5 linked regions of the Macaca fascicularis genome follow. The main gene of each other region encodes a partner of the protein of the gene in region 4 in a complex. Links are inferred from orthologs where the notes say so. Each region holds a gene or a part of one and is shown on either strand. Other genes may lie near its edges.

Region 1 (4,813 bases), on a different chromosome or scaffold from region 4:
CTTCCTGGCTCTGTAGATTTGAGGAAATCCTTTTCCACAGAGGAGAGTCCTGGCCACATTTAGCCCGTCTACTAGCAGACTCTCTACACCCTTGATTATTTTGGTGATGCTGGCCTGCAGGTGTGTTCACCACAATAGGACCTAGCCCTCACAACGTGAAGGTAGCCTCCTTTACCAAGGTTACACAGGACAGTATGACAAGATGGGTAAAATGAACGCTGAAGTCAGAAGACTCATATTCAAGTCCTGGAACTTGGGTAACTTTGGCAAACTCACTCAAATTGTGAGCCCTATCAATAGGCTCTCACATTGGTGATGAGGAGGAAATGAGATAATGAATCCAAAAACACTTTGTAATCTGTACGGTACTATACAAAGATAAAAGGATAATGAAGTGTAGTTCCAACATTCCCAACAGTCCTTAAGCTTTTTTTTTTTTAGATGGAGTCTTGCTCTGTTGCCCAGGCTGAAGTACAGTGGCGTGATCTCATCTCACTGCAACCTCTGCCCCCAGGTTCAAGCAATTCTCCTGCCTCAGCCTCCTGAGTAGCTGGGACTACAGGCGCATGCTACCACGCCCGACTAATTTTTGTATTTTTAGTGGAGACGGGGTTTTCCCATGTTGGCCAGGCTGGTCTCGAACTCCTGACCTCAGGTGATCCACCTGCCTCAGCCTCCCAAAGTGCTGGGATTATAGGCATAAGCCACCGCGCCCAGCCCAGTCCTCAAGTTTTCTAACATTCCATCTTCCAAACCTCTAAGCCACCATGACACATTTTAAAAATGTAAATAAGTACTAATAAAAAGAAATGCATCATCTTCTAAGTACAATTTTAATTATTTCCCTCAACCATATACTCTGAATAAGAAATCATTTATAAATGTGGCCCAACATAATTTCAAAAACTCATCCTCAATCTAATTCACAAATCCCTTAACCTATGTGTAAGTACCCAAGACCACTCACATCCTTGGAATGTTGGCATTGCACGAGTGACAAAAATTAACCAAATTCTTTGGGACTTAGACTACATAGCAGGTTGAAATAGTAATTTTTAAAACATAAGCAAACTCATAAATGGTATTTGTTACTTACCTCTGTAACATTGTGGCAAGAAGTGCAATAATATTTGCCTTCATCAGTAAGGCCCCATGAGACAGCAGCACACTGACTGCAGCGTTCTTTAAACTCTTCCTATGGGAGAAGAGGACAGAAAAGGTGTTCCCATCAAGCCACATTCAATACATCGTACCTAAACCCTGCAGTTCTACTTAGTGTGTTCCTTGCAACTTTATAAACAAAAAATCATACACAATAGAAAATATATCAGAGAGATTATCTGCAAACAAGGAGAGGAGCGGTATGAAATCGAATTAAACTGCTGGAGAAAATTTATTGAAATATGCAATGTGAGAGGAAAAATAAAGAAAAGGAGGTAGTAGGGGTAAACTGGAACCAAAGATGAGTAAACAAAGCTCCTTGAAAATTCTGTGAGAAAGAAGATGACAAATAAGTATAGAGAAGACTTTAAAAATGCAAATACCATTTGGAACTCCTCCAGGACACTAAAAGCGCATACCACAGAGGAACTAGATTTGTACTGGTTTCCAGTTTCGATTTATCCACTGGGGAGCATAAAGAGTATCAACTCTGGGTGTACTAGGCTTTTTACTAAGTGCTGGGGATTCAATGGTGAGCAGAACAGACCAGACATGGTCCCTAGTCTGGGGATACACTAGCTAATGGTGAGTTACAATGATTAATTTCATCAGCCTAGCATCTACAGAAGTTAGCCAACCATCATTCAATAAACATTTTTTAAGCCCGTATTATAAGGCCGTACTGCTTCCGTATATACAGGCCTAATTCTCTGATTCCCAACTCTTTGGAGTTTGACTTGTTGTTAGCGTTGATCTAATTATCAAGTACCATTTAATACCATCAAAGTGTGTGCCATTTGCCATTTGGCCGGGTGCGGGGGCTCATCCCTGTAATCCCAGCACTTTGCAAAGGCTGAGGCAGGAAGATCGCCTGAGCCCAGGAGTTCAATACCAGTCTGGACAACATAGCGAGACCCCTGCCCCTACCAAAAAAAAAAAAAAAAAAAAATTAGCCGGGAGTGGTGGCGCACCTCTGCAGTACTAGCTAATTGGAAGGCTGAGGCGGGAGGATCTCTCGAGCCCAGGAGGTCGAGGCTGCAGTGAACCGTGATCGTGATGTGCCACTGCATTCCAGCCTGGGGGACAAAGTGAGACCTTGTCTCAAAAAGAAAAAAACAAAAATGTGCCATTTTACGTAGCACCTAAAACAAAAAAAAAGTGCATGCCAAATTAATTTTGGCAACTTGGTAAAGTGTTCAATGACCCCGTACTAACACTACGATAAATGACAGCTGGAAAATTGGGGGAGTTCCCAAACCCGAATTCAGAATCCCTGCAGGAGACAGCGGCGAGGATTCCCGGAGAGACCGACAGGGGTTACCCGGGGGCATCTCAGGTTCCAAACCCTGCTCCCCCTTCACCCACCCCAGCATTAAAGGGAACTTGTGGGTGGTCCAGTCTAGAGGATGAGCCCTGTGGGTGGCCACCCCACAAAACCCACAACTTCATCCTTAAACACAAACATCCATAACGACAAACCCCACACCCTCCCTCGCCCACAACCTCGCCGAGCCAGAAACTCCAGCCTCTTTACCAACGCCGCCCGCGCATGCGGCCGGCCAGCGCCCAGTCGTCACCCCGCCCCGCAGCCCTCCGCCCCGCCTTCCTCCAACCGGTGGCCGCCCCAACCCGAGGCGTTCTCCGCCGCTCCTCCTCAGCTTTTCTCCCCTCCGGCCCCGGCAGTAGGGGCCCGCCAGGCGCACCGCCTCCTTACCGCCTCCTCGAGGTCCATCGGGGCGCCGCGGAAGCTTCACAGCCGGGACCCGTTACCCGGGTAGCGAGCGCAGCTTCCGGGAGAGGCGGGAGAAGCCCTACGGCCGGAAACGCGAGATCCGAGCCGAGGATTCCGTGCGCCTGCGCGGCAGGGAACCAGCGCCCCCGGGAACCAGCGCGCCCGGGGGCGAGGCTCCGCGAAGTCCGCAGCCCCCTCGCGGACTATCTTCGTTTCCTACTCTTGAGAACCAAAACCAACCAATAAGAAAGTGGGCGACGCCTACTGCTGAGTGATTCGATCAAGCTCCGTTCCGAAGGTCATTCATTCCAAGGCCGGCTTGCTCGTCTGGCTGCTAGGGGCCGCGCAAGGCCGAGCTCGCGAGCGCGGTTTCTGTCCTCCGTGGGCTCCGCCCTCTGTGGGTTCTGCCCTCCGGGTCTCATCCCTCGCTGGCTTTTTTAAGGGGAAGCCTCGGGACTTGGAGGAAAGCTCACGGGCCGTGAGTTAGACCTAGGTTTCCAATCACGGCTCTCCTGCTTACTTGTGCCTCAGTTTCCTCCTCTGTAAGAATTAGATGTTATCTGTGAGCCCCTTATAATTGAGTCTCCGCCAGGCGTGGTGGTTCACGCCTGTAATCCTGGGGAGGCTGAGCTGGGAGGATTGCTTGAGGCCAGGAGTTGGGCAACAAAGCGAGACCCCTTCTCTAAATAAGTAAATAACTGAATAAATAAATGCATGAGTGAATATAATTGAGTCTCAGTAACTGCTCAATAAATTTAGCTCTTATTGTTTCTTCATTTAACACATTCATTCCTTGTTTTATTTATTAAACAGGAACTGGTTTCGGTCCGGGGGATTCAGCAGTAAACAAAAGTCCTTGCCTTCGTGGAGATTCCATTCTGATGGGGAGAGACAAAAATAAATGAGGAAAATATGTGGTATGTTAAATGGTGGTGAGTGCCAAGGAGAAAAAGAGGAGAGTGGTTTCAGTCTGAAATGGGATGTTCAAGAAAGATCTTTTGATATAATCATATATCTCAAGAAGTTAGAAAAAAGGTTAAACTGAAAAATAATGGGATGAAGGAAATGTTTAAAAAAGAGAAAGCAAGCTTCGATAGAGAGGCTCCACAGAGGCTGTGGTGGCTGGTGCCTGTAATCCCATCACTTTGGGAGGTGAAGGCCAGAGGATTGCTGGAGGGCAGGAGTTGGAGACCAGCCTGCCCAACATATTGAGTCCTCATCTCTATAGGCTGGAGTTCAATGGCACCAACTCAGCTCACTGCAACCTCCACCTCCCAGGTTCAAGCAATTCTCTTTTCTGCCTCAGCATCCCAAGTACCTGGGATTACAGGCACGTGCCACCACGCCCAGCTAATTTTTGTATTTTTAGTAGAGACGGGGTTTCACCATGTTGTCCAGGCTGATATCGAACTCCTCACCTCAAGTGATCTGCCCGCCTCGGCCTTCCGAAGTGCTAGGATTACAGGCGTGAGCCACCGCGCCCAGCTTAAAAGATATTTTTTAAGAAAAGAGTCTCGACAAACTAACATTAACTCTTTGAAAAGACTAATACATTCGATAAACTCTGGAAAGATTGATCGAAAAGAAAAGAAGAGCCCAGCTTGGTGGTGCACACCTGCAGTCCTAGCTACTTGGGAGGATGAGACAGGAGGTTTGCTTGAGCCCAGGAGCTCAAGGCTGCCGTGAGCTATAATCAGGCCACTGTGCTTCAGTCTGAGCAATGGAGCAAAGAAAATCAAAGTAACTGATAACGGTGGCATCACTAACCAATATGTAGGGGCATCACTACAAATACCACAGACATTAAAAAGATCATAAGGGGATATTCTGAACAACTCTAGGCCAATAAATGTGAAAATTCAACCAATTTTTTTTTTTTTTTAAAGACAGAGTCTCGCTCATTTGCCCAGGCTGGAGTGC
Region 2 (4,628 bases), on a different chromosome or scaffold from region 4:
CGCCCCGGGGAGGCCCCAGGCTGGAGGGCGGGGGAAGAGGAAGGGCGGGTAAAGGGCGCGCGCGGCCACGGAAGCGGGCACGCGCCCCAGTCTCCTCCTCCCGCCTCCCCCCAGCCGGTTCCCCCCGCCTCCGCAACCCGGCGGGGACCCGGACGCAGCGCAGCCGCCGCCAGCCCCGGAGCGCAGCGGCCGCACCGCCCCCGGGGACCGGATCCGGATTCCCGCCGCTCCCCCCTCCCGGGCTCCCTTCGCCGTCCCCGCCCGCACAGGCGGGCGAGCAGCCGGAGAGAAGCGGCCTAGCCTGCCCCCCGCCCCCGAGCCACCCACCCCGGCCAGAGGCGCCGCCACCACCCAGCCACCCCGACGCGCACGGAGGAGCCCGGCACAGAGGCGCGACCGCGGCGGGAACCGCCGCCTCCTCCCCCGAGCCTGCGGCCCAGCCCCGCCGGCGCCCCCGCCCCGGCCTCCGGGGAGCCGAGCCAAGGAGAGGGCGGGAGGACGGCGGCCGGGAGGCGGGGGCGCAGCGCTCACCGGCCCCGCCGCCCCCTCCGGCGGCCGGGGAGAACTGCGCCTGCCGGATCCGAGAAGCGCGGGCTCCTCCGCCAGCGGCCGTGGCTCGGCTCAGGCCTCGCTTCCTGCCTTCCCCTCCCCCGGCTCTCGGCGTCCTCCCAAGTGCCCTGGTCTGCTCGCGCCCGGTCCCCTGCTCGGTGGTCGCTCCGGGTCCCTGCTGGGCGCCCACCGCAACCCGCGGTTCGCTCCCTGCTGTCCGGCCCCGAACCCAGCGCGCGTCCTCAGCCGCCTCGGTTACCCGGCGCAGCGCGGCCTCCGGGCTTCCCGCTCCGGCGGCTCCCTCCCCGGCTCTGAGTGGCGGCGCCCTCCCCCGCTCGGCCGGGCACAGCCGCAGCTCCCTCCCGCGGCGGCAGCGGCTCCTCCTCCGGGCGAGGCGGCGGCGCTGGGGCGGCGGCTGCTGCTGCTGTGGCGGCGGCGGCGGCGGCTGTGGCTGCTGCCTGCTGCTCCTCGCGGCGAAAAGCACAAAGCACAGCGCCCTCCGCCTGCAGGCAGCCCGCCCGCCGCCGGCCCCGGCCTCAGCTCGCACACCCCCCGCCGCCGCCGCAGCCTCAGCCGCCGGAGCGGGGAGGAGGAGGGAGAAGGGAGGAGGAGGAGCGGGAGGGGGGGCGGGAGAAGCGGGGCAGCGAGCGCGTCCTTCCCCGTAGAGCGCACACCGACCCCCGGGGAGCGAGCGCCAGCCCGCCCGCCTCGCCGGCTCCGCTCCCTCCCACAGCCTGCCCGGGCGGGCTCCGCGGGGGGCAGCTGGGAGGAGGGGCGGGAGCTGGGGGGACCCGGGCGGCCGAGGCGGAGGGAAGGAAGGAGGGGAGGGGGGTGGTGGTGGTGCTGGTGGCGGCGGCGGCTGCTGCTGCTGCTGCTGCCGCCGCCGCCGCCGCCGCCGGGGAAGGGGGGGGCCGGGGCAGGGAGACACGCAGCCGCCCGGATGGCGGCGGGGCTCGGAGCCGGGGCGGGCGGGCGGGCGGGCGCCGAGAGCGACCTCGCCAGACCCGCGGGGGAACTAGCAGGCTTTGCCGGCGCGGGAGGGAGGGCCGAGGCGCGGCCGCGGAGAGGGTGCCCGGAGGGGCCCCCGGCGGCCAGGAAGGCTTGGGGGGCGCCCACAGCCCTGCTCCGGAGCTCTCCCCCAAGTCCTCCCAGCTCAGACTGGGGCTTCCAGGCCAGCTCTCTCCCGCCTCCCGGAGCGAGCGGTCCGCGCCCACCCTCATCCCCCGGAGCGTGGCCACTGGTTTGGGGCGCACGCACGCCGATCGCGGCGTCCAGCTTCGGCGCCTACCTCGCGATCCTCTCATTGCCGAACGGTACATAGGAAACTTTAAAAAAACCCAAAACCGAAAATCTCTGCATTAAAAAAAAATCCCCGTTGCTCTTTACACCCCGGAAACGGCGAGGGAACGACGGGCTCCGGCGGAGGGGCCGCTGTGGGAGCCGGTTCAATCCAGCCCGGCATGGCTCCCAGGCCTGCCCGGGCGCATGGAGATCGGTGCCGCCGCCACTCGTAGCAACCCCTCTCCCCCGAAATCCGCGGCGCCCGGGCTCACTTACCGAGCGTGTGGATGGGAGCGCAGGCCGGGGGCACCTGGGAGCACGGCGGGCGGAACAGCCGAGCCGCAGCTCCGCTGCAGCCGACGCCGGGGCAGCGAGTCGCCAGACAAAGCCCGAGATGGCGAAGCGGAGCGACGGCTAATGGCGAGCCCCACGCGCCGCGCTCCGCCCGCCCCGCTCCGCCCGCCCGCCCGCCCGCCTCGGCGCAGCGCAGCGCCGCTCCGAGCGCTTGCCCGTCAGAGCCGCCTCGGCGCCGCCGCCTCCCGGGCCACCCCGGCCTCGCCTGGCCCCTCCGCCTCCTCCGGGCGGCTCAGCCTCACCCCTTCCCTCCCACTGCTTTAGGGGTTGCACAAAAAAAAAATTTTTTTTTAAGTAAAATGGTTTTCTTCCTTTTTTTTCTTTTTTCCTTTTTTGCAGGGCGGGCGTGTTGAGACTTTTGGATCTTTCTGCCCGCAGCTCGCACTCACCTGCGGAGCCGCCGGGAGGGCTAGGGGTGGGGGCGCGCGGGGCTGGAGCCGGCGAGCGCGGGTTGAAAGCCAGCCAAGCTCTGCAGCGCCCGACCCGGGCGTGTACGCCGCCGCCAGTCCCCGCAGAGAAATCGTCCTCCTACCCCCGCCTCCATCGCTCTGCGTTTCTCTTCCAATCAGCCGGTCGCTTGGTGGCTCCTCCATTCTCCGGCCAAGCCCAGCTGCCTAGAGCGAGCTCCACTCCTCCATCTGTTCGCCGGGGTCCTCGCTCCCCTGCCGGGGCTGGCGAGGCGGCGTGAGGCCGGAGGGGGATTTGCAAGGAAACCTGCCTGCTTCCCGCTCCCATTGCTCCATCCCCGCTGCCTCCTGCCTCCTGCTTCTCTCCTGCGTCTTTCCAACTCTCCCCTGTCGCCACTGGTGTGTGTCTGAGTGTGTGCGCGGTTTTTTTTTTTTTTATTGCTCTTTGCTTTTGCAACCCTGAAGCAAAAGGGAGGGGGGGTAGTTACAGGGGAAAAAAAAAAAAAGCGAGAAAGAAGCTCTTAGATTTGCAACACATCGGAAAACCGAGGGAGCACCCCGCCTTATCCGATCTCCATGCTCCGCGAGGGCCTTCCGGGTTTTAAAAGGACGAGCTTATCAATGTCCCCCTCTTCGCTGGGTTTAGGATCCGAGGAGTCCGAGCAAAAAGTTCTCCCCCTGGGTCGTAGTGAGGGGTGTCAGGGTGGGAGTTGCGGGGATTTTTCAAGAAGAAGCGGCTATCCTTCCTACCCCGGCGTCGGTCACTGGGCGGGGGTAGGGGAAAGAGCAAAATCCCAGTGGGTTTGCGCGAGGGATCTTCTGGGGTCGAGGCGGCGGGGGGAGTCGGAACCGGGAGACACCACTTGGCGCATCTCCCCCTCGGTCTATACCTCCTGTCTTTTGCCAGCTCCCCCTTTAATTTTTTTTCTCTCCTTTAATCTAATTTCTTCCAACTCCACCTTTGTTGTTACCGGCGTCACGCCCGGACCAGCCAATCCCCGCCACGCAATCAGCTTGTCAAAAAGCCTCGGCCGGCCCTGGGAAAGCAGGCCGCAGGCGCTGCCCCCCGGCGGCGGCGGGCAGCCGCGAGGGGAGCCCAGCACCCGGTTCTCGCTGCTCCGGGCGGCAGCGGAGCAGCCTCCGACGAGACGTCTCCCGGTTCACTAAACTGCAGGCCGGGGATGAAAGGCCTGGACGGGGTCCACCACCCACCCTCCCACTACCATGGCTGTGGTTGTCTGTCTTTGCCTCCCCTTTTCAGAGGAAAGGTTATCAGGACAGGACGCAGGGAGCCAGAAGACCATCTGAAGGAAGCCTGCTTCCAGCAGGCCCAGCCTCCAGCCACCGCTTCTGGGGCAGCGCCATTGCTCCTGGCTCTCAGGCTGCCAGTCTCCCACACCGAGGCTCTACTTCCCGCATCTCGGCCAGCTGGATCACCCAGCCCCTTTCGACTCTCCCCTGGCATGCAGCCTTCTCCTCCACTCGGCCTGCCTCTTTGCTGCTGTAATTCCTCTTGTCTCCTGGGAGAAATGAGATTGTTTTCCCAGGACTTCCAGATCCCACTTCTGTCACGTTTCACAAACAGGGAGGAAGCCCTGTCAAGATCTGGTGTGTCCTGTTTTTGTTTGTTTGTTTGTTTGTTTTTGGGGGCACTGGCATATAGGAGAGGCGGATTTACCACTCGTAGATTAATTTCAGCTTCTAGGCCCCTAACTTTGAGGACCTGCCCAAGACCCTGAACTTAATTTTGTTTTCATTTTTTTTTTTTTTTTTTTTTTGTCAAAAGAGCCACCGACCACCTACCCCTCACCCCGCAATTGCACATGTTTCTGGCCTTACAAACCCAGATTGGCCCTTGGAATATACACAGGGCAATTTGTGTAGGATCACACTGCACTAAAAGTGAGGCATGGTGGGCTAGGCGTACTGGCTCACACCTGTAATCCCAGCACTTTGGGAGACCCAGACAGGAGGTCTTAAGTGATTAAGCCCAGGAGTTCAAGATCAGCTTAGACAACATAGCAAGACCCTGCCTCT
Region 3 (4,926 bases), on a different chromosome or scaffold from region 4:
AAATGAGGGACAAAATGTGTAAGGTTGATAGGAGATCCTGTGCATAAATTTGGGAACTGCAAAAGGCTGCCCTTTTTTGTAAAAGTGAACAACAAAAGAAAAAATTCAACTCTATAGAAGGGGAATTTGACTGTCTCAGTAGGTAGAAAGAGAGAAAACTCTTTCCTGAGAATTTCTAGCCATAAGCTAGCCCTTACATGGATTTGCAGCTCAAATTCATACTATCTGTGTGCTCCAAAAAACATGAAGCCAAGAATTTATTTAAAGTAATTCCAGCTTGATAGTGCTTCAAGGCACCTAGAAAAGAAACACAAATGCTGAGAATACAGCACTTACCCAAGGCCTCAAAGAATTCCTACAGTTCAAGTTCTAAAAAACTCAAATTTATTGTCAAAAATTACAAAACAAAGAAAAAAGCACTATGAGAGAGACAGCAGAAACAGACAGCAGCATCAGACACACAAAATCCATGGATATCAGAATTATGAGACATAGAATATAATAACTATATTTAATATTTTATATATTTAAAGACTAGTAAAAGGAACAATTTAAAATATGATTAAGGAACTGAGAATTATTTAAAAATTGAGATTTGAAAAGTAATTAAATAGAACTCAAAATAATAACAATAGTAAAAAATAATAATATTTGAAATAAACTGAAGACAGAACTAGTGACATGGAAGAGGAACCTGAAGAAATTACTCAGAAGGTGGCATAAAGAGAAAAGCGATTGAAAATATGAAAAGAGGGCGAGAGAAATGGAGGACAGAAGAGAGAAATCTCATTCTAGTAACTAATTAGAGGTCCAGAATGTGAGGACTGAGAACATGGGGGAAAGAGAATATTAAAAGAGATGATGGCTGATAATTTTCCAAGGTTGATGAAAAAAAAATCCACTCTAGGCTGGGCGTAGTGGCTCACGCCTGTAATCCCAGCACTTGGGGAGGCCGAGGCGGGTGGATCACGAGGTCAGGAGATCGAGATCATCCTGGCTAACACAGTGAAATCTCGTCTCTACTAAAAAACACAAAAAATTAGCCGGGCGTGGTGGGGGGCACCTGTAGTCCCAGCTATTCAGGAGGCTGAGGCAGGAGAATGGCGTGAACCCGGGAGGCGGAGCTTGCAGTGAGCCGAGAACACACCACTGGACTCCAGCCTGGGAGACAGAGCGAGACTCCGTCTCAAAAAAACAAAACAAAACAAAAAACAACAATGCACTCTCAGTTTCAGAAAGTCCAACAAATCCCAAACAGAATAAAAGAAAATCACATTTTGATATACTATAGTGACTGCAGAACACCAAAGACAAAGATGAGGTCTTAAAAGCATTCAGAAAGCCCATGTTCTCTAAATCATGTGTGACTAATTCTCTCCAAAGTAAAGCTACCTTGACTGCGGTTGAAGACTGCAGTATAAGACGCTGACCACTAAACAATACTTGCTTCTTATGGTTTTTTTTCTTCATTTCCTTTTAAATATCCTAAAAGAAGGTCAGGCAGGGTGGCTCATGCCTGTAATCCCCAGCACTTTGGGATGCTGAGGTGGGTTGATTGAGCTCAGGAGTTCAAGACCAGCCTGGGAAACAGAGAGAAACCCTATCTCTACTAAAAATACAAAAAACAAAACAAAACAAAAAGCCAGGTGTGGTGGCACGTGCCTGTGGTCCCAAAGCTATTTTGGAGGCTGAGGTGGGAGGATTACCTGAGCCCAGGAGGCGGAGGTTGCAGTGAGCCAAGATTGCCTCACTGCACTCCAGGCTAGGTGACAGAGCAACACCCTGTCCATTTAAAAAAAAAAAAAAAAAACAAAACAAAAACCTAAAAGGTTTATTTCACTGGTTACAAAAAGGGTTAAAAAAGTGTAATTTAAAAAAATAAAAACTACAAATCTCCCTCTTACCAGAACTGCACAGAAATAAGGGATGGGACGAAAGGACACAGCCGTTTAGTACAAAAAAATAAATCACTGGATTTGTTTATTAGTTAGCAAACAGACTGAGCAAAGGGAGGGGAAAGGATACCCACTTGCAGTTGGTACAGGTGTAGAAGACAGTTTGCCCTTCATCGGCTGAACGCATCTGTCTGGTGTGGTATGCCATTCCTTCATGACCACATCGAGGGCAGCGCCTGTCAACCTGGGAAGAAACTGGTGGGTTATGGAGGCCTGGTCATATCATACCCTTACTTCCCACAGGAACCAGGCGATCACGCCTCTCAAACATCGATGCTTTACATCTTTTCCCACTTGGAATTGGGCACAAAACTCTCCAGATCTCTGCAATCACTCCTCCATTTCTTTCCTACCCACCTTATGGAGCCAGTTCTTGATCTCATTAACTTACCACAGGTCCCTGGCACTCAGGCCCTTCCTCCACCGACATAGGCATGGCTGTCCCCAGTTGGTGGAACACAACTGAAGTCTTCACAACCTTCCCCTCAAAGTCTGCACAGGCAAGTAAGACTGGTTATGGAGACAACCTGAGGGAGCTGACACCGGAAACTTCCCCTCTCCCCTGGCTGGTTAGGCCAGGAGGCCCTATATCCTTTCCCTCAGTTTTCATCGCTGGACCAAATGTACAACTGCCTGATGTCCTGCTCTAGGATCCCCTTCTGAACCCAACCTATCTTGAGTTCCCCAAGCTTCCGATCCTGGGCCCTCCGCCAGGACCCCTGTGTACAAGCCTCTCACCCCGAACGTTGATGTTGAAGCCACAGCGAGTACAGGTGACCGTATCCTGAGCCCCGGGCAGAGGCAGGACCGAGCCGCAATCTGAACAGAAATCCAAGTCCGACTGAAAGCTGGAGCAAGTACCGGCGAGGTCCATGACAGACATGCAGTCGGGTCTGAGGAGGGAGTTAGAAGTTTATTAACAAAAGAGAGAAGAGTTCCTGCCCCAGAGTTGGTAACTATTCCGTCCCAGGACGTAGGAGTATATAACCCGAGTCCTCCTCCCACGCACGCCTCCTGCCTCTGCGACCAAGGAGCCGAAACGCCCGGAACTCCCAGACAGCGTCGGGTACTAAAAGGACTTGGAACCCTTTCCTGGGGCCGGCGAGAGGAGCTGGCCAACTCCGTGGGCTAGAGCGCCAGCTCTGCGCCCGCGGCGGGGCAGCGAGCTAGAGCCGGCTAGAGCGTCACGCTTTCACGCTGACGATTGGCTGTGACGTCATAATTAATTGCGAACCGTGTCTCGGAAGCCTTAGAGATGGAGAGTCACCTCTTCTAAGGGAGGTTGGGGCTCAACTTTCAGGCTGGTACTGAGACGTTGAGCACAAAATTGGTAACCAATGCTGCGCTTCCAGCAAATTTTCCCACCAGCACCGAATCCTGGGATATTTATTCTCTGTTTCACATCCTACGGGAACCCAATCGCGGGGGAATATCCTCCTGAAAACCGTACTTTGCTGAATAATGACTTCTTTGGATTAGAGAACTACAACTCCCCTGGGTCCTGAGCTGGTATTTCCCTTTTGCGGCTGCACAGTAGTTAAAAACAAAGCTAAGTGTTCTGGCATGTATAGTTCTAGCGTTCCTTGGGTCCCGCTGGCGAGCGTGGGCTTTCTGCAGAGCGCAGCCGGCCTGTGCTTTGCGGACGGTTCACCGCGCTTGGAAAGGGGTGAGTCGGCTTCTTGAGGGACAGCAAGTGGTGAGGGTGAAGGCCAGAGGAATCCTTAGTCCCACGGGACGAAAGGAAGCAGGGATGAAGTGGGACACTTGAGAAGGGGCTCAGGACTTTGGAGGTGGTAGAACAGAAGAGCTTGGGGCTTCCCCTCCTTCGACTCCTGCCAGATAAGTGAGGCTAGCAGTAGTCAAGAAGCTCATTAAGTAGGATTTCATAAGACTTAGGTCGAGTTTGGCTTTTAGTTGTGCCTGCCGCTTATCGAACTCTTAATTCATTATTCGTCATCCATTAAGTGGACAGCTGACATTTCCCTGATCTTTTATAAAACATGGGAATAAGTTTCTTTCGGAAATCTTGCTATTTTCGTTACTCTGTAACTTATATTCGAAGTAGAAACTTTCCCTGAAGGGGCAGCTTGTCGTTGTTTACTAGTTTCATGCTAGTCCTCCCACCACCACCCACTCTGATAGCTGTGCTAAGTTCCTTCATATGAAAGTTCTGGAGCCATCACTATTTTGTCCTGTGAAGGACACAAGCTGTAGTCTTTTCGCTGGGAGAGGCTCCCATCTGCCTTTCTCTGTGATAATGGAGAGAACACCATAGTTAAAGGGTTAAAACTCAGCAAACTGCTGAAGAGTGACAAGCCCTATCACTTAACTGTGAAATTGCTTGTTATTCTGTCTGACAAAGGGAGATGTGTTGTTGAGCTGATTGTCGTAGACAGTTTTTATTCTCACTTATCTGTGTGTCTCCTTTGAAAATGGAACTTGAAATTCTACCCTTCTCAATTTTCTCTTTTTAATTTGAAAAACACTCACCCAACATCCCCTGTGAGTTGCAGTAAAGAACAAAGCATTGAAAGGCATATCCTTTTCCCAACAGAAGCTCACAATCTATTCAATAAAGTATTTATTGAGCAACTATGCCAGGTTTTGAGCTGAGGCTGAACCTGCAAAGTTGAAATCTGTGTTCTTTGACCTCAAGGAACATGAATGAATAATTAGAATACAATAAAATTGTGCCAGGAGGTGCAAAATGTGAGAGCTCAGAACATACATATAAAGCAAACATATCTGTAAACTTCAAGGAAGACTGGGAAATGATTTAATAAAAAGATAGATACAATGTTATGGCAGATATTTAAAAAGATGCTCAGATATTATGTGTCAAGGATCATCAGCAATCAACAAATCATTAATTTTGAGAATTTGGGATCACAGACTCTAATGTTAAGTACTGTGCTAGAAGCCATGTACAGAGAAGTAAAAGTAAGGTGATCGTATGTTTAAAATCTCAAAA
Region 4 (2,772 bases):
AAACACCTCTTCCTCCTCCCTGCTGAGGCCATTCATTTTCAACCCAGTTCCCTAAATACGATTTCTAACACCTCACGTAAAGACCTGAAAATGATGGGGAAGGAAATACCCCAGGTATCCCAGCAGGGGAACCAGCTCCCAGGCAAAACCAGATCAAACAGACAACTGTTTAATACACAGAGAATCTCTTTGGATTGTTACCCTAAACTTCCTAGGGGAAAACAGAACCCCATATGCTTTCCTAGAGACCCCTAATGCCAGGCTGAAGAGCCAGCTCACATGCTGAAGGAGTCCTTATCATCAGAGCCATTTCCTTAATGTTTTTCTTCCCCCACTCATAAGTTAGTGACTGTAGTCAGGCCGCCACATTGTCCTGGCTCTGGCCCGCCAGCTTCATTGGTATTGCTGCCCTGTCCACTTCCACTTACCCTCCCTCCCACTGGAATGTAGAGAGCCAGCTCCTCCAGCTGCTTCCAGAACCACCAAGTCCTCTCCTCCTACTCTCTTCATAGTCATCTCCCATGCCTAAAAGGCTAAAAGCCTCTGTGCACATCTTCCATAAAAATAATGAACATTTCTAGACTATGCAAGCGACTCAATCAAGTCAGCGTGAACTGACTTCCTAAGAGCCTGAAAGTGCTGGAAGGACCCGAGCAGGGCTCCTTGCCAATTCAAAATTCCGCGCCAAATGGGTGGTATCTTCTGGGCCTGGGGTACCCTCAGGAGCCAAAAGTACAACACTCTCTCCCAAACGGAAAACCGCATTGGAGGATAAATGTTGAGAACAGTCAGCCAGGAGACTGAGATAACCCTGAACCCAGATACCAAAAGGCTGGAATAGATCCTACATTGACAAGTGATCAGCTGGCTGTGGGCCAGAAACAGTACACCACAGACAAATTGCAAAAAAATGATTTTACAGTAAATGAACTTTTTACAAAAAGGGGAGGGGCAGTCTGAAAAAGTAAAGTTTAATTTAAAAATCATATACACAAAGCTTCTGATTCATTTGCAGCTTTCCCACTGTCTTTCACAGGCGAGTCAGTTTCCCTTTGAGTGCAGGCCAGTTAAAGATGCCACCACAGTGGACAGTGAGCCAGCCCCTCCTCAACAGGTGAGCAAGACTGGCTGCCACTCAGGCTTGAACAATGCCGATGACCTGAGTGACTAGGCAGCAAGGCTGGCTTCTGGCGAGGTTCAGAAGGCTAGCTTCTTCATCAGGAGATAAACTCTGGAATCCACCTCGAATCCATGCAGGTTGTTGGCATCCCCCTGCAGCCTCATGAGCAGGCCCCCATAGGACACATAGGCAGAGCTGAAACAGAAGGCCCCATCCCATGAGTCTGGAGCACTGCTACTCAGCAGCTCTCCATCTCAGCCTAAGAAAAAGAAGAGGCATCTTTCTACTGTTTTGTCACTAGGAACCAAAATTCTGACAAAGATCAAGATATGTGCAAGGCACTGTTCTTTATATTAGCGAAGGTGGAAAACACCTATATGCCCCAAATCAGGGGAATGGTCAAATGAATCAAGATGTATCCACTTACTGAAATGTTATGCAACTATTAAAACATTTAAGAAAAGCTTCACACTAACATGGGGAAACATATTTTACATAATGTTAAGCAAAAAGAGCAGAAGAAAACATAATAAACACCACAGTCTCAAAGGAAAAAACAGAACACCAGGATATGCAAAAAAGTCTATGTAAAAGGTTATCTCTGGGTATGGAATTACAGGTGACTTTTTTTTTTCCTTCTTCACATTACTCTTCTGCATTTCAAATTGCTTACAAAAAGCACATATTGTTTTAATAAGATTTTAAAGAAAAGAAAAAATAGCTGGACAGGAAAACCAAGGAACTAGGGATTGGGTTACAGAGTAGCAAAACACACACACACACACACACACACACACACACACACACACACACACACACACAGCCTAATAGGATAATCACTTAATGCTGCATTTGTTTCTGGAGAAGCAAGTCTCCTTTGCACTTTACACAGTAAGATAACCAGTTTCTCATCTGGACTGCTGGGCCAGGAGGGCCTGACAAAGAGCAGTCTACCTTTCAGACTGGAAACTGCTCTCAGAACCATTTCTTTCTAGTTCCTACCTAGGTCTGAGGTGCCTGAGGAGAGGGACCCAACAGAGGAAGCAGGAGCATAGCTCAAAGTCTCAGAACACAGAGAGGGAAAAGAACCTCATAAGATTATGTAACTTACAGGCGTGTTGCTGCTTCAGTAGAAGTTTCGTCTCCCTCAATCCTGTACACTTTTCCATACATTACATATTCAAATTGGTCAGCCCTGTGGAGCAATAGCAGCAAAGTTATTCTTAACAGTAATTAACAATATAAAAAATCCCATTTAAAAATGGTTACTGGTCGGCTGGGCGCGGTGTATCAAGCCTGTAATCCCAGCACTTTGGGAGGCTGAGGCGGGCAGATCACGAAGTCAGGAAATCGAGACCATCCTGGCTAACACAGTGAAACCCCATCTCTACTAAAAATATAAAAAAATTAGCCGGGCGTGGTGGCGGGCGCCTGTAGTCCCAGCTACTCGGGACTGGCGTGAACCCAGGAAGCGGAGCTTGTAGTGAGCCGAGATTGAGCCACTGCACTCCAGTCTGGGCGACATAACAAGACTCCGTCTAAAAAAAAAAAAAAAAAAAAAAAAAAGGCACATTACAAACAAACATGATGTCATTTAGTCCTCGCAGCAACCCCGTGAGCTAGGCATGATCATGATCATCTCTATTCTACTG
Region 5 (4,862 bases), on a different chromosome or scaffold from region 4:
GTAAACTGGTTGGAATTTGCACCTTGCCAACAAATTTTTGCTGAAGCACTTGCCAAACCAATTGTGGCAACTGTTAAACCAGAGGTCTGCTCCAGCATCTGGAACTGGACACAGACATACTGTGGTCATGTGTTGCTTGCTTTGGGAATTGCTTGGGAGGCTAGACTTGGGAGAATACTTACTGTGAGCCTGGCAGTTAATGGTGGATCCCAACAAAGAGGAAGTTTTCACCAACCTTTCAGTTTTGACATAAAAATGTAAATTTATAAACATAAAACTTTTTTTTATAGCCTTCAATTTTAGTATGTGATAAGCCCTTGGGAGTTAAGAATTTAACTATATCCAAGTGCCCTGATTTTTCAATTCACTGAAGGTCAGAATAAATGGCCATCATCATAATTTGGTTTACTTCTTTAGCAAATCTCTGCAGACTTAAAAATCAGTTAAACATAACTGATAGAAATGGAGCTTAAATATGGCAGTAAGTGAAGCCAACTTAAGATATATGTGGAACAGCACTATATAAGTTATTACACATTAGCTTATATTAATACAATGATGGGACTGGAATTTGGAGAGATTCAAATTGGAGAGATTCCTGGGACAGTGGAAGCAGCTGTGAGATAGGAATTCAGCAGAACTAGTTTCTAAGACAGGAGAGACAGTAAACAACAGGTCAGAAGACCCGACTGATAAGCGAGGATACAGTAAAGAAACCAGCCAGAACCAAGATGGTGACAAAAGCAGCCTTCACCACTATCATACACTAATCATAATGCATGAGCTTATGTTGTTGGCAGTGTCCAAGGGTTTGGTCCTTCTCCTCCTCAGCTTTGCCATCACAGTAAACAGTATCATTATCCATGCACTGGCTCATATTAGAGGCACAGAAAGGTAGACAGTAGTATTTTCAGACAATGGGAGTGTCCACAGAGCAGGGTTCCTAGACATTGGATTGCTTTGAGGACCTCAACCCTGCCCATTTATGGTTTTTAGTTTCTCCTCTGGAATGTATCTAAAGGAATTTAAGAAACCTTCTCCACTTGGCTCTCTTGTTTTTCTCTTTAAAGTCTACAGTTTGTAATGGTAAAGACTTAAGCAAGTTCCTGAACTCTTTCAGGACCTAAAATTCTAGTCATGTTTGAGGAGAATGCAAGCACTGTTCCTCTAAAGATGACTCATCTAACAAATATGCTGCCTCTGATCATGCCAGTTCCATCAATTCAACAGAGGGACTGAAATCTGGCACTAGGAACTTTGCAACAAAATCTGTGCCACTTGTTAAAAGTGAAAGACTTGATTTCATTCATATCTTAAAAACAACAGGGTTTTAGAAAGGACACACACGTAAGTCAAGATTCAATATTTAAACTTAAAACTCATGAAGTATCAAAACTACTAACCATTCTATAAGCACTCCTTTCAAGACGTTGACCATGTTTTCTTAGTCAGAAGGTTCAGATGACCTCAAGAATGCTAATAAAAAGAAGAAGGTAACACTGAATTAAAAATCATTAACTTTCATATACTTTGGGGACTGCCTCTGAAATGAGGCAAAATAATTAAGTGTCAATATTTAACAGTTAAGTCTATGAAAGACAGTTAACATTAAGAGACATTCTGATTTTTTAACAAAATTAAAATGAGTCTACTTGGAATATTGCCACATCTTACTTGCCAACCAACTCTACCCAAGGTCAATTAGCCCTAATAGAAGCAAGCAGCCTAACTCTACACCAGTGTGCCCAACCCAGGTGTAAACTGTCCGTTATTCAAAGGATTTCTTTTCCCATTCAGGAGAATGACAAAGGGTAAGATCCTGGGAGACAGGACTCAAAGATAGTTCTGAAAGGTGCTTCAAAAATTACACAGTGAGCCCAACCACCTCCTTTTAGTTTATATTTTATTTTATTGAGACAGGGCTGGCTCTGTCGCCCAGGCTGGAGTGCAGTGGTGCGATCTCAGCTCACTGCAACCTCTTGCCTCCCAGGTTCAAGCCATTCTCCCACCTCAGCCTCTCGAGTAGCTGGGACTACAGGCAAGAGCTACCAAGCCCAGCTAATTTATTGTATTGTATTGTGTATATATATATATACACACACACACATATACTTTGCGACAGAGTCTCGCTCTGTCGCCCAGGCTGGAGTGCAGTGGCGTGATGGCGGCTGACTGCAACCTCTGCCTCCGGAGATCAAGATATTCTCCTGCCTCAGCCTCCGAGCAGCTGGGACTACAGGCGCCCGCCACCACGCCAGGCTAATTTTTGCATTTTTAGTAGAGACGGGGTTTCACCATGTTGGCCAGGCTGGTCTTGAACTCCTGATCTCAAATGATCCACCTACCTCGGCCTCCCAAAGTGCTGGGACTACAGGCGTGAGCCACCGTGCCCGGCCAATTTATTGTATTTTTAGTGGAGACGGGGTTTCACCATGTTGGCCAGGCTGGTCTCGAACTCCTGGCCTCAAGTGATCCACCCGCCTCGGCCTCCCAATGAGCTGGGATTGCAGGCGTGAGTCACCGGGCCCGGCCCCAACCACCTCATTTTACAGATGAGGAGACCAAAGGAAGAGATTAAGCCGTAGTTCCCGGGGAAAGGGGAAAAAAGTACAAGCCAGGTTTCCAGATCTTGTGCCCCTTCACTAAATAAATCACGTCCTGTGCGGACCTAGGCTGGAAAGAAATCACTCAGCGTCCGCCCACTTAACTAACTTCCACTTACACCTGGGCGCAGGGCGAGCCCTAGCCCCACAGGAAACCCACGATTAAACGAGTGCGGAACTGCAGTGCGGCCCCGCCAGGAAGGGCCTGGAGAGAGTGGGGGACACCGCCCTGTGCCCCCAGCACCCGGTGGACAGGCTTCTTGGGCTTTCCTCTTCTTCCCCTCTTTCTTTGGGACCCCTCAGTCTGCCCACACCCCACTTTCCCCAGCCACTCGGACGCTTGCCACACACCTCAGCCCACAGATGCAGAAGCGCCTCGGCGTCGCCGACACAGTGCGCCTGCGCCTATACGTCATCGCGCTAGGGACGCTGTTGTGAGTGGAGCGAACCGGCAGTAGGCGGGCCCGGAGAGGGCCGAGGGGGCGGGGTCATAAGCCGCCCGCCGCCGGGTGGAAGGCCCCGGCCGGGAGCCGAGGAAAGGGGAGGGCTCCCCAGACAACTGGGTCCGGCGAGCAGTTGGGGACAGGTTGAGTCTGCGTGCCGGCAGGTAGGACGTGAAGGCCGGGCTAGTGTGGGGGCGGACGGGGGCGTCGGAGCAGCTGGGCGCGGTGGGGAGTGGAGAATGGGGAGGGCAGTGGCCGGGCACGGCCGGGCGCCACCGTAAGGCGCGCGGACCGGACCGACCCGCTGACGCTCCCCTGGGTGTGAGGGCCTCTCTCTGGTGGTCGCGAGCCTGACTCGTCTTTCCCGGTCGCTGCCTTTCTCTGGCTGCTGTCGAGGCCTCGGGGAGTGCACCTACCGGTCCTTCTTCCCGGGCTCGGTAGTCACGGAGAGATAATGAGGAGGAGGAGGAAAGGGCCTCACCGGTCACTTCTGAGCCTTCCAGACCACCGCTTCCGGCTCCCCCTCTAACCCCAGAGATGGAAACGATTGAATACTGAGAGATCTCTAAATTCGGCAACGGTCATTTAAAAGTGAAAGACCCCAGAAGCTTCTGAAGTGATTCCCTTTCCCCAAATCTGTTCTGTAATCTAAAGGAGCACTCTCATTATTTTTACTAGTTGAGATATGAGATTCTTGTTTTCTGTTCCTTAGGTTAAATTGTACTTCCCGAATTAAGCTCTACCTTCTTTTTTTTTTTTTTTTTTTTTTTTTTTGAGATGGAGTCTCGGTCTGTCGGTCAGGCCGGAGTGCAGTGGCGCGATCTGCGCTCACTGCAACCTCCGTCCCCTAGGTTCAAACAGTTCTCCTGCTTCAGTCTCCCTAGTAACTGGGATTACGGGCGTGCGCTACCACGCCCGGCTGATTTTCGTATTTTTAGTAGAGACGGGGTTTGTCCATGTTGGCCAGGCTGGTCCGGAATTCCTGATATCAGGTGATCCGCCCCCGTCAGCCTCCCAGAGTGCTGGGATTACAGGTGTGAGCCACCGCGCCCGACCTCATACTGCGTTTTTTTTTTTTTTTTTTTTACATCGTGTGTGTTCATGTGATCGCTTAGGAACCCAGCTCTTCCATTTAGTTCCCTCTTTCAATTTGCTTTTTTTCATCTTGCATACATTCTCTTCCTTGACCTCATCAGTTCCATTTTTGTGCACTTGATGTGTGCCAGCTATTATTCTAGACACTTGGGATACAATGGTGAACAAGTAACTAATTTTGGTTGGGGCAGAGAGACACAAATCGGTTAAGGAATAAGTACCATTTGGTGATGTGATAAAGGGTGACTAGAGGGGTTATTTTGGCCGGGGGATGTCAGAAATTGCCTTAATTTCTGCATTTAAAAACCTTCTGTATATCAGTAACAATTAACTAGGAGTTTTAATAATAAAGACACTATTCATAATGGCGTTGAAAACTGAAGTTATCTAGAAGTAGATCAACCTAAAGCTGCGTAGTCCTTTAGACAGAAAATTGTAAGGCTCTGTTGGAACACAAAAGATGACCCAAGTAAATGGTAAGATATACCGTATTCATGGATGGAAAGACTCAACAAAATGATGTCAGTTTTCCTCAATTGTACAAATTCAGTGTGATGCCAATTAAAATCACCATATTGTTTTATGGAACTTGACATGCTGAACTTAAAATTTATATGGAAAGGCAAAGGGCCAAGAATAGTGAAGTCAATTTTGAAGAAGAAGAAAAATAAGGTCTCTATCAGATACCAAAGCTTAATATAAAGTTGTAATTATTAAGGTG

The links.
Region 1: POLR2H (region 4) and TAF1B share a complex: the UniProt entries of both Homo sapiens proteins name them as parts of the pol I pre-initiation complex. The link is inferred for Macaca fascicularis from reciprocal best matches to the Homo sapiens genes POLR2H and TAF1B.
Region 2: POLR2H (region 4) and UBTF share a complex: the UniProt entries of both Homo sapiens proteins name them as parts of the pol I pre-initiation complex. The link is inferred for Macaca fascicularis from reciprocal best matches to the Homo sapiens genes POLR2H and UBTF.
Region 3: POLR2H (region 4) and POLR1H share a complex: the UniProt entries of both Homo sapiens proteins name them as parts of the pol I pre-initiation complex. The link is inferred for Macaca fascicularis from reciprocal best matches to the Homo sapiens genes POLR2H and POLR1H.
Region 5: POLR2H (region 4) and GTF2H5 share a complex: the UniProt entries of both Homo sapiens proteins name them as parts of the TBP-based Pol II pre-initiation complex. The link is inferred for Macaca fascicularis from reciprocal best matches to the Homo sapiens genes POLR2H and GTF2H5.

Annotation. Positions count from the first base shown.
Region 1 is NC_088387.1:112,232,164-112,236,976, forward strand, and holds the start of TAF1B (TATA box-binding protein-associated factor RNA polymerase I subunit B), read right to left. Parts: upstream 3,001-4,813; 5' UTR 2,894-3,000; coding exon 2,876-2,893; exon of another isoform or gene 2,665-2,875; intron 1,196-2,664; coding exon 1,097-1,195; intron 1-1,096. UniProt on the Homo sapiens protein: Component of RNA polymerase I core factor complex that acts as a GTF2B/TFIIB-like factor and plays a key role in multiple steps during transcription initiation such as pre-initiation complex (PIC) assembly and postpolymerase recruitment events in polymerase I (Pol I) transcription.
Region 2 is NC_088390.1:65,276,562-65,281,189, forward strand, and holds the start of UBTF (nucleolar transcription factor 1), read right to left. Parts: upstream 3,001-4,628; 5' UTR 2,574-3,000; intron 2,222-2,573; exon of another isoform or gene 2,107-2,221; intron 1,286-2,106; exon of another isoform or gene 1,228-1,285; intron 863-1,227; exon of another isoform or gene 532-862; intron 469-531; exon of another isoform or gene 328-468; intron 1-327. UniProt on the Homo sapiens protein: Recognizes the ribosomal RNA gene promoter and activates transcription mediated by RNA polymerase I (Pol I) through cooperative interactions with the transcription factor SL1/TIF-IB complex.
Region 3 is NC_088378.1:142,602,555-142,607,480, forward strand, and holds the start of POLR1H (DNA-directed RNA polymerase I subunit RPA12), read right to left. Parts: upstream 3,001-4,926; 5' UTR 2,974-3,000; exon of another isoform or gene 2,965-2,973; intron 2,849-2,964; 5' UTR 2,839-2,848; coding exon 2,694-2,838; intron 2,448-2,693; coding exon 2,347-2,447; intron 2,140-2,346; coding exon 2,030-2,139; intron 1-2,029. UniProt on the Homo sapiens protein: Core component of RNA polymerase I (Pol I), a DNA-dependent RNA polymerase which synthesizes ribosomal RNA precursors using the four ribonucleoside triphosphates as substrates. Can mediate Pol I proofreading of the nascent RNA transcript.
Region 4 is NC_088376.1:96,289,670-96,292,441, reverse strand, and holds the end of POLR2H (DNA-directed RNA polymerases I, II, and III subunit RPABC3), read right to left. Parts: intron 2,316-2,772; coding exon 2,232-2,315; intron 1,316-2,231; coding exon 1,198-1,315; 3' UTR 901-1,197; downstream 1-900. UniProt on the Homo sapiens protein: DNA-dependent RNA polymerase catalyzes the transcription of DNA into RNA using the four ribonucleoside triphosphates as substrates.
Region 5 is NC_088378.1:66,517,234-66,522,095, reverse strand, and holds the start of GTF2H5 (general transcription factor IIH subunit 5), read right to left. Parts: upstream 3,001-4,862; 5' UTR 2,955-3,000; intron 1,477-2,954; 5' UTR 1,439-1,476; coding exon 1,404-1,438; intron 1-1,403. UniProt on the Homo sapiens protein: Component of the general transcription and DNA repair factor IIH (TFIIH) core complex, which is involved in general and transcription-coupled nucleotide excision repair (NER) of damaged DNA and, when complexed to CAK, in RNA transcription by RNA polymerase II.